3 linked regions of the Nothobranchius furzeri genome follow. The protein of the gene in region 3 purifies or fractionates together with the protein of the main gene of each other region. This does not show direct contact. Links are inferred from orthologs where the notes say so. Each region holds a gene or a part of one and is shown on either strand. Other genes may lie near its edges.

The links. Proteins that work in one complex are often made in the same cells at the same time.
Region 1: the proteins of hspb11 (region 3) and ift22 purify together in Homo sapiens (affinity purification with mass spectrometry; 3 studies listed by BioGRID and IntAct, with this or other methods). This does not show direct contact. The link is inferred for Nothobranchius furzeri from reciprocal best matches to the Homo sapiens genes IFT25 and IFT22.
Region 2: the proteins of hspb11 (region 3) and ift88 purify together in Homo sapiens (affinity purification with mass spectrometry; 3 studies listed by BioGRID and IntAct, with this or other methods). This does not show direct contact. The link is inferred for Nothobranchius furzeri from reciprocal best matches to the Homo sapiens genes IFT25 and IFT88.

What each region holds. Positions count from the first base shown.
Region 1 is NC_091751.1:48,583,711-48,587,633, reverse strand, and holds ift22 (intraflagellar transport protein 22 homolog), read left to right. Parts: upstream 1-1,502; 5' UTR 1,503-1,591; intron 1,592-1,705; 5' UTR 1,706-1,747; coding exon 1,748-1,786; intron 1,787-2,465; coding exon 2,466-2,548; intron 2,549-2,645; coding exon 2,646-2,729; intron 2,730-2,805; coding exon 2,806-3,008; intron 3,009-3,081; coding exon 3,082-3,236; 3' UTR 3,237-3,350; downstream 3,351-3,923. Other genes in the region: outer dense fiber protein 2, read right to left, coding at 1-8, 87-158, 278-352, 466-597, 684-795, 884-1,005. UniProt on the Homo sapiens protein: Small GTPase-like component of the intraflagellar transport (IFT) complex B.
Region 2 is NC_091742.1:29,198,600-29,202,961, forward strand, and holds the start of ift88 (intraflagellar transport protein 88 homolog), read left to right. Parts: upstream 1-1,489; 5' UTR 1,490-1,599; coding exon 1,600-1,680; intron 1,681-1,841; coding exon 1,842-1,901; intron 1,902-2,320; exon of another isoform or gene 2,321-2,354; coding exon 2,355-2,414; intron 2,415-2,857; exon of another isoform or gene 2,858-2,984; intron 2,985-4,362. UniProt on the Homo sapiens protein: Positively regulates primary cilium biogenesis. Also involved in autophagy since it is required for trafficking of ATG16L and the expansion of the autophagic compartment.
Region 3 is NC_091757.1:41,300,655-41,305,150, reverse strand, and holds the start of hspb11 (intraflagellar transport protein 25 homolog), read left to right. Parts: upstream 1-1,655; 5' UTR 1,656-1,784; coding exon 1,785-1,876; intron 1,877-1,971; coding exon 1,972-2,078; intron 2,079-4,496. Other genes in the region: smn1 (survival motor neuron protein 1), read right to left, coding at 850-969, 1,051-1,122, 1,502-1,642. UniProt on the Homo sapiens protein: Component of the IFT complex B required for sonic hedgehog/SHH signaling.

The DNA of each region.
Region 1 (3,923 bases), on a different chromosome or scaffold from region 3:
ATGTTCTTCTGAGGGAGCAAAACAAATGCTTTCTAATAAAATTAATTTCAATATTTTATTGATTACCTAGTGTTTTATGTGCTTACCTGCTGGTCTCTCCTTGTATTCATTAGCTCCTCGATCCTCCGCTCAGTCTTGTTCAGAATGATTTGTAAGCGCTCACGAAAGAAAACATGAGCAATAAGGTATAATTCAAGCATCACAATCCATGTTTGACTCAACTCCTGACTAATTATATCTTCTCCCATCATAGAATATGATATAATAAAACATTCACCTCATTTTCACTTTCAGCTTGTGTTATCTTCTTTAATAAGAGGTCTGTCCGTTTCTTTTCAGTAATTCGATTAACCTGTATAAGGAATTCATTATTAAAGCAGGTAAAGTCAAACTTATTACAATTTATATTTAGAGAAAAATTTTAAGTCATTTTTTTTTGCATAAATTCAACATTTAAAAATCCACCTCTGCATTTTGGTGTAGTTTTAACTCCTGTCGCACAGATTTATTTATTCGTCTAAAATTCTCCAACTTCTCCAGCAAAAGTCCTCTCTGCCTTGTGATTCCACGCTTGTCTTTGGAAGACGGTCCCAAATCCTGAATTGAAAGAAGATGTGATTATTTACAGACACGGTAAATGCTCAAACCAAACAGAAGAAGGTAAAAATTGCTCTTAATCATACAGTAAATTCATCTTCTATTGCATTTTTGAATGAAGCAAGTTGTATTCCTGCAGAGTTGGCAGCAGCTTCTGCATCAATCAGTAGTTTCAGAAAGGTGTGCTTCTCTTCAAAGCTAAATGAAAAATAGGGATGTGAGAAAATGTTGTAAGCCTTTTAGCTCCAGAGCACATGTTTATAAACATGTGTGTTTTCTCTGTGACCTGTTTCCTTTTTGTGGCTCATGACTGTTGTCTAGGTCACCACGCCTCAGAGTGAGATCATCACTGGTGGAACTGAATCCAGGAAAAGGGGAACTCTGGGGATCACCATCCTCTGGAGACATACCCCCCACTAACAAAAACATAACATAATAAACAAAATAAAACAAAGTGTTAAATCACTAAATATCCTGATGGAAATTCTATCTCATATGCTTATAAGATCGTTTTATTACACTTTACAGCCAATTTGACTTGAACCAGGAAGCCAGCGGACACCCAAGCTAACATGCTGTACTCCATAGCAACGGACAGGTTTGACTAAGCCGTCGTTTAACGCGTGTTAATTTGCCGAATAAGCTAAGTCACTAACAACCACGTGGTGACTAATGTAATTAAACTTAGTACATTTCAACTTTAAATCGTATATTCTAGAAAATTCTAATATTACTCACACTTTCGCTTTGTTTCTGTTGTAAATAATACCACTTCAACTGGGGAGGCAGCAGGGACGCTCAAGCGCGATTGGCCATCTTCGAAGTAACGTAATGACGCTACATGTTTTTCCCATCACTTATTGGCTCCTCGAGGCAAAGAGGGGCGGGACTACGTTTGATTTTAATTTCAAACAGCCAATGGACGAAGAAAGAAGGGGAGCTTGGTTGAAACCATAGAAACGACAAGGAAGTCTTGTAGTCGGAGAACATAAACGTAAATAAGCTAGTTTAGTATACTTTTATTCTTTTAACTTAAAATACCACACACATGTTTCTTTAAAGACGTACTTAGCAATTTATATTCACGCTGAAACGTTGATTTTCTTAGGGTTCTTAAAGCTAGCGTGATAGCTAATGCTCGGCTTCGGAAATGTTCAAAGTAAAAATACTCTTTGTTGGACCTACCGAGGTAAGTAAATGAACGTAAAACGTATATAGATGAGCATGTATTGTTAACTTCTTTAGTGATCTCGGTCCTCGAGATGTCCAACACGTTTGAGTTGATTCCCTGCTTCAACACACCTGATTCAATTATCTGTTCAACAGCTCATCATGCTCTGCAGAATCACCTACTCGTTGAAATCAGGTGTGTTGAAACAGGCAAACAACTAAAACATGCATAATACCAGCCTTCCAGCACCTTTACCCCAGTTCTAGTGTAAACTATTTTATGTTTATCTCAGTAGCACTTCAGCTAATATCGAATTCATATATTTATGACAGTCTAATAACCTTGTTATGACGGTGTATGGAAGCATTTAAAAGAAAAACGCAATGCTTAGGTTAATGAAATCAAAACTATGCTATTTTACGAATAAAGACCTTTTGAAAGTTTTTAATGTGTAAAAAGTAATTTGTGAAAAGACAAAAAGATTGGATGTTTTTGAATTCAACTAAATACATTTTATTTGGTTACTCGAGCACACTTTAATTGTACCTCAGCTATTTCCATTTTCATGTCACACCGGACATGTAGTACAAATAAAACTCAGATGCTTTTCAGCACCACTGGTCAGTTCATAAACATGCTTATATTGTAAAATGTGAGAACTAAACATATCTTTAAAGTGATCTATTCCTTTTTTCAGAGTGGGAAAACTGTTCTTGCCAATTTTCTCTCAGACATGACAGAAAACGTGGGCGGACAGTACCGACCTACTAAAGGAGTCAGGTACAGGCTGTTTTCCTTTCATTACCTTTCATTCAATGTTATTACCTCATATACATATTATACTAAAATGATCACATTCACTTTCTACTTGCTCAAGGATACTGGAATTCAAATCCCAGCTTAAAGGCAGTGGTGACAAGACCTGTGAGGTGGAACTTTGGGATTGTTCAGGAGATTTTAAGTAAGTCATATTCACTAAGAAAATGCCTTTTCTTTCTAAATGAAAGCTGCTTTTTGATGCCAACCCTTTTCTGCAGGTTTGAATTATGCTGGCCTGCTCTCATGGAAGACTGTAATGGTGTGGTGACCATTTTTAATCCTGCTGTTCCAAGTCACCTGAAAGAAATTGAGACCTGGTACTCCATGTTCATTGCATCCCAAGGTTTGCAGGACAACCAGTGTCTACTCATAGCTCATCACAAGCCTGGCAGTGAGGTAAAAGATGGGCAGTTGACTTTAGGTAATCTCCTAAAAGTGTTGCATCAGTTTTTTGTTTTGTTTTCCGAGCTAACATCTTTACTCTTTTGATGCAGCACCAAATCTGAGCAGACTGCAGCTTATTCACTCCAACCTGGAAGAGGACCCAGAGGATGTTAGACATGCTTTCTTCAGATATGTGGGAAATGTTGTAAATGGGATGTTGGAGAGTCAAGAGCGAGAGGAAATGTCAATTATTACTCAGCAGTGAAATCTGTACATATCTACCCGACTGACTGCACAGTTCATTGGCTTATGTAACTCATCAAGTTATTTTCTGTTAATAACTTGTCCCTAGTGTTTTATTAAAGGTTCATTTACTTTATACCTACCTACTTTATACCTTTATTCCTACCAAAGCAGGAATACATGTGTGCCATTACCTTAATGGAAAACAAAATAAATCAGTTCATTAAACAACAAACACTCACCTATAATATAATGCATTCTTTAGAACCATAAAGAAATGTCTAAAATGTCCACGCAAAAAAAAAAGTTACAAGTTTTACATTTCTGTGTCTGCACAAGTTGGAAATAAGCAAAAGGCACTTGAACAAAGCTAAATAAAGCATGTTACACGTTGTAGAGAAGCTCATGTGCAGCTTCACATTTACATGGATGACTGAATCATTACTCACTTTCCTCTGACTCACCCTGCACCTCACATAAGACAAAACACTGCTGGAAAAACACTCAGAAAACAATAATGTTGGACCACCCCACATTTCCAAAACAAAAATTAACCCTTGCTCCCATCTATTAACAGATTTAACTCAGCAGTCCTGTGGGAGAGGTTTGTGATTTAAGAGGTATTGTGAAAAGTTCCAATACAAAAAGAGAAATAAAAACCTTTCAGCTCTCATTTAATTCCTTAAGTAAAAGCACATGTACATATTTA
Region 2 (4,362 bases), on a different chromosome or scaffold from region 3:
TTTAAGTGTTTCAATTTTTGTAATGAATTCGATTAAAAATAAAGGCGCCCGGCCCGTGTCCGAGGTAATTACACAGTCGTTGGCCCGAAGCCCGGCCCGAGGGCCATCGGGCCAACCCGACCTGAGGGCCTAGGGCTTCAGTGCAGGGCTCTAGATGAGATAGCAATCACTCCAGGCGTGCATCACTCCATCACAGACCCAACTGGGTTTTGCCACCACCGTTGTTTCTGGTCAGCTCTCCGCTCAGCCACTATGAAAACATGAAAATGTACACAATACAGTTTAACCTTTAATGGTTACATAAGATTTTTGTTTTAGTTACTCTTTTTATTGATAGTTGTGTTATTGTTAATTCTTATTTCTTGTCATTCCTTACTTAATAACAAAATAGCAAATGCTGATCTTATAAAGCAAGTGGAAATTAGCATTTTTATGCAAAATGTCTAATTTTTAAAAGTTATTGTTCGACTACTGTTCTTGAATTATCTTAATTCTATTCTTATTACTTGAGTACACAAAACAGAACAACATATCTTCTTACGTTCGTACTCCTGTTTGTCTCATGCTTCAGCAGTTTGCTGCAGTCAGTGTTATTAACTGAAAAATATTAAATAATTACTCGTCTTCACAATCACGTTTTCTTTATTATTGGTCTCTCCATTTGTGCTTCCGTTTCTGATGCATGTTCGTGTTGATACAGCAACCAGCAACGTATTGTACAAATATTCCCAAATAAAACTAATAATGTAAAAAGTTTATCACCTATTTGAAACTGTGGGGAATATTTTTAAAACGTAGAATCAAACAAACTGAAAGAAACCCGTCTACAGCTCGTCCTCCTGCTCACAACCAACAAGCTGCACACAGTTAGCTCATTAAAGGCGATCTAGCTAAAACTGGCAACATAAAATATCATCGTTGGCTTATTTTGGTACGAAGCGGTTAGCTAACGCTTCACAATGCAACAAAATGATGACATTTCATCAACTTACCGGAGAAAATCCTTCCGAAACACCAAAAATGAACTACTTTCCTCTTTATTTCGGGGATTTAATTACTAGGGAGGAATGTGGATCATATGTCCTTAAAACTTGTGCATCCTTACTCCATGGATTATTTATATGTGTGTGTGTGTGTGTGTGTGTGTGTATGTATATATATATATATATATATATATATATATATATATATATATATATATATATATATATATATATATATATATATATATATATATATATATATGAATGGTAGTCCAGAAGGACAAATTAAACTGGGGCCATTAAAGAGTATTACTTGTTTGGTAAAACAAACAAATAATAATGGATATTCATAATACCAGTGGACATGTGTTTCCGTCTTTGAGAGAAGAGAACTGTGTACTTCTCTTGTATCATAGCAACGGACGGAACCGTCTTCAGCCAATCATGTACATGTTTGACTAAGAGTGACAGTGAGACCACCAATCAGAAGCTCCAAAAGGGATTAAGCCCGCCTATATCGCTTTGGATTGTGGGTAATGTAACTGAAACGACAACAAACATCTTTCTAGCTCCAACGTCTGATTTATTTCTGCACACGTTCTTTAAGCAGAAGAGTATGGAAAACGTGCACCAGGCTGCAGAGGAAGATGACCTTTATTCTGGTTACAACGACTTCAACCCGGCGTTTTACTCGGAGGTGCGTGACCCGCTAACTCCCTGCTATTAGCTGCTGGTACTCTAGGCTCGAGGCTGAAGTTAGTTTAGCCTTATACTGTAGGCTTTATTAGCACGAACCACGGTGGTTTGTTTTGGATCATTTGGACATAAATGTGATGATACATTTTCTTAAACCTGTAGTTTGAAAATGACGTGGGCTTCCAGCAAGCAGTTAGAACAACTTACGGAAGAAGACCTCCGGTAAGAAACGTTTGTATTGTTTTTGTGTTCGTCACTAGAGAACCCCTTTTGGACTTGCTGAAGTTAGCTTCCGTTTCCAGCTTCTGATTCGGGAGACGGCTAAAGGGCCATTACACCCAATTTTTCTCTACTCTGACCATCTTTAATCTGCTCTAGCTCAAAACCTTACAACACCCACACTGTTCAAACCTGTTCTAGATTATTCCACTATAATAGCAGATTGCATAAAATTTTGTTTGGGATTTGTAAAACCTTTCCCTGATTTGTGAAACTTCAACAAAGCCAGATTTGTGCGTTTTTTCAGCAGGTACAGCTATAATATCAGATGTTTCCAGTGGTCTGATATGTCTGAACCTAATGGTTAAATGAGAATTGAGGATTGTTTAGAATGACTTGTATGTGTACACTTGTTTACCCACACTCATGGATGATGTTGTGTGTTTATCTCTCCAGATAGGTGGAAAGTTCCCAGGCACTGCCATTGGAGCTCGACCGTTGTTTTCTTCTTCTGGAGTAAGTACAAATATGTAAATGTTTAAAAACCTAATTGACAAAAGCCTACATTAGGTTTAGGAAACAAAGTACAACATCTTCGTAATAAATGACTTTTACACAGAAGAAAGTAATGAAGGCAGCAGGGCTGTGCAGTTTATCAAAGTAGTATTTTGCTTTTGACTTTCAAATGAACACAAAACAGTGTGATTTACATTAGCAAAATAATATAAAAACATTAAATAGACATTTTGTTTAAAGGTGTGGAACACTGAAGAACAAGTTTTAATGATTATTTCTGATTATAATCAGTCACACTGAGTTTTTCATGCAGGCTGAACATGAAAATAGTCTCCTACCTACCTCCTGCAGTAGCTTCTGATAGAAAGTAGACGGTGAAACTCTAGGATTAGAAAATCCTGACAAATCTACATCACATTGTCACTGAGCATTCATGGACTCACCTTGACTCACGACAGGGAAGGCTGTTGTTGATTTAGCGTCCAGGAAACAGCAGAGAATCAGAGCTCCTCCAGGCTTCAGTTATTTGTGGAGATAAAACATCAACGTTGCAAAGCAAACAGATTGAGTGGTGGAGTGGTGTTGCTGTTAGCCAATCAGAGGAGAGATGTCCAAATATCAGGAAATAAGACTCCAAATCCTGTTAAGCTCTCCTCTAATGTGGAATTCTGCTAATTTACATGCTAGGTTGCATCTGAGCCCCCCTCAGGTGTTGTAAGAGCCCGTGTTGCTCTGATGGTGGCCTTCAGCTCTTCTGAATTGTTGGGTCTGGCGTACTGCACCTTCCTCTTCACGTTACCCCATAGATTTTCTGTTTGGTTAAGGTCAGGTGAGCTGCTCTAAAACTTCCTGATAGATGGCTGCGTTGACCTTTGACCTCAGAAAACACAATTGACCAACACAGATTTCACTCAGTTTATGTATATAGCACCAAATCAGGACAAGAGTCGTCTCAAGGCACTTCACAAAGTAAATATTCCAATACAGGTCAGTTCATTAAGCCAACCCATAAGATTGCAGCAGATGACATGACACCCCAAACCTTTACGGACTGTGGAAACTTTACACTGGACCTCAAGCAACGTGGATTCTGGGCCTCTCCTCTCTTCCTCCAGACTCTGAGACCTTGATTTCCAAAGGAAATGCAAAATTTACTTTCACCAGAGAACATAACTTTGGACCAGCCAGCAGCAGTCCAGTCTTTGTTGTCTTTAACCCAGTCGAGACGCCACATCTTGTCCTTCCCTTCACATCTGTATTAATGTGCTTGGTCACAGAGCTCTGTCATCATCCGGCCTCCTTGTACGAGATGTCATTGGTCGTCTTTTGGACATCTTGTCAACTCAGCAGACTGAGAGACCATCTAAAGGGTTTTGCAGGTGTTTTCAGTTAATTAGCTGAGAGTGTGGCACCGGGGGTCTTCAATATTGAACCTTTTCACAATATTCTAATAATCTGAGATACTGGATTTGGGATTTTCATTGGTTGTAATGATCAAAATTATAGGAATAAACATTCTAAATATATCAGTCTATGTGGAATGAATGAACTTAATAAAGAAGTTGGAATTACTGAAATAGATCTACTTTGTCATGATATTCTAATTTAATGACCAACACCTGTATAGTTCCAGCCAAGGATGGCGATGACAGAATCATTTCAATTCAGCTTATTTAGATGGCGCCAAAGCAGGACAAGAGTCGTCTTAAGGGACTTCACAAAGTAAACATTCCAGTCAGTTCAGTTCATTAAGCCAGTCAGTAAAGCGTTTCATCTATAAGGAACCCAGCAGATTGCATTGAGTCACTGGCTGTTTCTCAATATGTATACTTGTCCCAACTTGTGTACTCGCGTCCTTGTGGAACATCATCACCGATGGCCCAAGGACTAAGTATGCATACGTTCGCTCAAAGTTCCTGGATGCGTTCTTGCTCCGCCCCTTGTTTCA
Region 3 (4,496 bases):
GCTGCTACTTTTTTCCACGCTTTGAACCATGCGGCTTATAATGAGGTGCGGCTTTAGTCAACCAGAAATGAATGGATGCTGGAAAGTCTACTGAAGGAGTGGTTAAAGGAGTGCTACGGAAAGCGCCCAGGAGCAATTTTTTTCACAGTAAAACGGCGCTGCTTGCTTTCCCAGCTTCACCCCGGGATGATGACAGCAACACGGAGAGCGACACTGACATCACCACAGAAAAGGTATGTAACAAAGCTCTTCTGAGGCTGTTCATCTCCGACACTGAAGAAGATAACTTCAGTGGTTTCAGTGCGCAGGAGGACGATGAATAAACTAATCAATAACTTTTCTGTTTTGTTTGATACTGATCAGTTCAGTTACGTTCAGTTAAACTACGTTTTCAATTCAGTAGATTCTGCGGCTTTTAGCCCGGTGCGGCTTATATTGAAGTGCGCTCTATAGTCCGGAAATTACGGTATTTATATATGCATCAACTGAAATCTGTCAGTTCAGTTCTTAGTCATTCAAAAGTGTTATCATCTTTAAGCCACAGTTTTGTCATGAGATAATAACATTTGATTTTTTTTCTGCTTTGAAATTAAAATTTAAAGTGAATAAAAATAATTAGCGATTGTGTTTTCATGCAGCTGTATTGTAATGATTATAACTAAATGTAGCTTATAGGGTGCCAAGCAAAAAAAAAAAAGCTAAATCTTTTTTAAAAAGTGTTTATTTTAAAGCTTTTGGATTATGCAAGGAAGATGACTTAAAGAACAGATAACAAAGCATGCAAAAATGTATTTTTAAACTCAAATATTAGACATTTTTAAGGCTGCAACATTACAAAAAGTTCATTACCTCTTTCTCTGGGGCTACATTGTTTCTTTTCCCATTCTGGTTCTTTTTGTTGTTCTTCCGTTTTTTTCCTGGTAGGTTTTTCTTAGGAGCTTGAGGTTCATCTTCACCCTTCAGGGCAGTCTGGCACACATAATGGGCATCATTCTAACAAAACAAACAGAAGACTGTGCATGCAGGCACACCTAAAAGCACCCAGTTTACCTTGAATGATGCAACTGCCTTGTCGTAGGCTTTTATCAGTGCGGTATCATCCCAAATATCCGAATCATCACTCTGAAAAAGAAGGAAATGCATTTAGAGGGTCTGCCTTACTTTGGTGCATGCTTATCCAAATATTTAGGTGGTACCTCTGTTCCTGTCACAGACCAGTGCTGTTTACAAGCTCTACTTCTAAAGCACTTCACTCAAAATACGAAGTTCTGATGCAGCTTGAGTGAATTTTGTGTGATTTATATCCTCCACCTCGACTAATAAAACCCAACAACAGCTATTGCTGTTTTGTGACCCTGTTTATCTTTGTTGTCCAACTAGCTAAACTTACCGGTGGTTTGTAGCTTAGCTTCCTAGCTTCTCGTTTTAAATAGATCTACAGGAAATAAAAAAATAGTTCGTATACTTTATCCAGTTCGACTAATAAATGTTTTAAACACACCTGCCCAGTTCCACGGGTAAATAACACGTCTCTACATCCATTCGCCATGTAGGAACACTGAAATGTGTGCCAATCGTTGTCAATTTCTGGACCCAACAATGTGCGTCGGAAGCGAGTGACTTGAAGTGACGTATATATCATGCGACAACGCTGTTGGCCTGGCAACATCTACAGCTTCACACGCCACAATAAAACAGCAGCTAAACCCAGCTTTTGATGAGTTTTTATCATTAAACCTGCTGATACGCACGTTTAGGCGTTTCCACCGCGGGACCAGATCGTTATGAGCGATTCATCTTTCAACTCTTTGGGTGTAAAAGTCGTTTTCGCTTCTTCCTGCGATGAGAATCACCCACCAGAAAACATTATGGACGGGTACTTGCTGCGCTTTGCAACACTGTTTGTCGTCTATATTCTAAATAGCATCGTATCTGATTAATTTTATTAACGTATTTTTTGTCCACATCTAGGAATACAAAAACATTTTGGACGTCCACTGGGATGTTTCCTCAAGAGTTCGTCATTCGTTTTCCTGAGCCCACGAGGGTTGCTGCGGTGACAGTGGAGAGCTACAATGGTACGAAGACCGTAGTGACAATAAATAGTACACACTGTCCAGGCTCTGTGATGAGCATAGCAACACCCTGAAGCAATGCTACTAGTTGCAAATATTTTGTTCGAAACTACCTTTTAGATTTTCCACCCACTTGTCTCACAAAACTAATTAGAGACATACTTTATACATCTCTAACACAATATAGGCTACATAAGTGTATTTGCACAGACCTGTAATCAGATGTTTATTATTCCCAGCAGCTGTGCTGATATTTAAAGGGGACACATTATGCAAAATTTCCTTTTGCATCCTTTTGTGCTGCCATGTGTGTCTCTACTGCCTCTAATCACTCCAAACTTCTTCCACAAGGACACACAAGTTCAGATGTTCAGATCGGGCCAGACAGGGAGTCAAACACAAAACAGTGTTCAGAATTTTTCTAAATAAAGATTACTTGCAGATACTCAGTAGCCTAACTAGTAGAAAAGTTTGTCACTATCTGTGAAGCCTCAGTGGAAGAAGTAAATTGATCAGAAAAGAAACCACAGACATTTTGGTTAAACACTGCCGTCTTTTCCTTTGCGTTTTGTCGCGTGTACTGCTGAAATCATGCGTGACCCTGCAGTTCTTTGGTGATTTTTTTTTTTACCTTGCGGGAACAGCTGCTTGGAATGCTTTTGCTACTGTTTCACATCGGAAATGCACCTGGTGGGAAGGGAGCTTGCGGGTAAAACACGCCTATTACATTAAAACACACCTATTACAGTACACACTAGCTTACGCATCCAGTGGAAAGATGGGGTATGAAGCCACAACATGCTTTTGTTTTATTCTGAAATCAGGTAAAAATAAATAAAATAAAAGGCAAGAGGCTAATGTTGGGCCAACAATGAATAAAAAAAATAGTCAACTCTAAAAATATCTCAAGCCACGTTTTTGAATACCAACAACTTGATATTACAGTGAAATGTATTTATTTACTTATCAGTTAACTGTGTATGGCTAGTCTTTACTTGTCATCAAGAATCTTCTGGGGCTGATCCGTCACTGGCGACAGCTAAACAGAGCAGACTCTGTTTATACAGACTGCAGTACCCAAATTTGACCACAGGATGTCATTCCCAAATTGTGACCCTTTAAGAAAAACAGTCATTTCTTTTTTAAGTAAACATAACTTAAATTAACCCTTTGATGCATAATGGTCACTACAGTGGACAGGTACTCAAAATAGTTATTTGTTTGTTTTTGCTATTAAGCACAGCTGTTGAAGACTTTATTGCATGTGAGCACCTCCATTTGTACTTCAGTAAGCCAGGCCAACATATTTCATGCTCAGAATGCACACTGTCCACTGAGGTGGACATGTAATAAATAATTTGTAAATTATAAAATTTTACGAAAAATATTAGTTGAAATTTGTTTCATTCGCACCTAAAGACGAATGAAAAAAATTGTAAAAAAAATCATGGTTGAAGATTTCATAATTCATGCATCAAAGGGTTAATCAATAAGAGACAACTTAACTTTAATGAGTAAAGTTAACCAAAAAAATGATTGATTTATTATTTTATGTTTCTATATTCCATTCATCTTTACATCAACCCTAAAGTGCGTCTGATAAACAGACTTGTATATTGTTTTATTTTAAATATTTGTGGATTTACAAGAAAAACAACCACAAACTAGCAATTTTGTTGGATTTCAGGAACAATAAACAACTGGTGGGGGAGGTGCATTGTGGGTAGTTATGTTTTCAGTTATTTAGCTCTATTTTGGGGTGTTTATGCATGTCTGTTTTGGAGGATTGTTGTTCTCAGTTATTATTTCATTCAGTGTTGCAGATGTGGTGTTACTTTTTGTATCATGTTGGCACCATAAGTGAGGAGGTTGGTCAAAGTAATGCTGTATGGCTGTGCTGTCCCATTGTTAATAATACTGTGGTTATTCACACCAGATGCTCTTGACTTGACTTTGAGTGTTCCACTTTCATTGGCTGTTAGCATTTATGGGTGTGTGAGTAATGATCTGGTGCTAGTTACTGCCTTCACCAGCCTGCCACATTGTCATTTCTAAGTAAATTCAACTCATTTGGGTTAGGGTTTATTAGGTCCATTTAGAGTTCATATAAGTTATAATATTTAAGTTAGTAAAAACATGTAATAAAGTTCAAATAAAATAAAATATGCAAGTTTAGTTAAATTAAACTTTATAAGTTGCTTAAGTACCAAGTTATAAGCTGGAGGTAGTTAAATGCTTTGATTTTATTCAGGTCATATTTTTTAAGTTATGGTAAACTTATAGTTTTTAGATAAGTTAACTTAAAAATTATTAGGTAATCAGTTTCCTCATAAATTTTGAGTTCAGTGAACTTATTCGGGGTTACAGTGTGTCCCCATTAAGAAAATCTTATTCACTGCCTCTCGTTTATCTTTAAAGCAT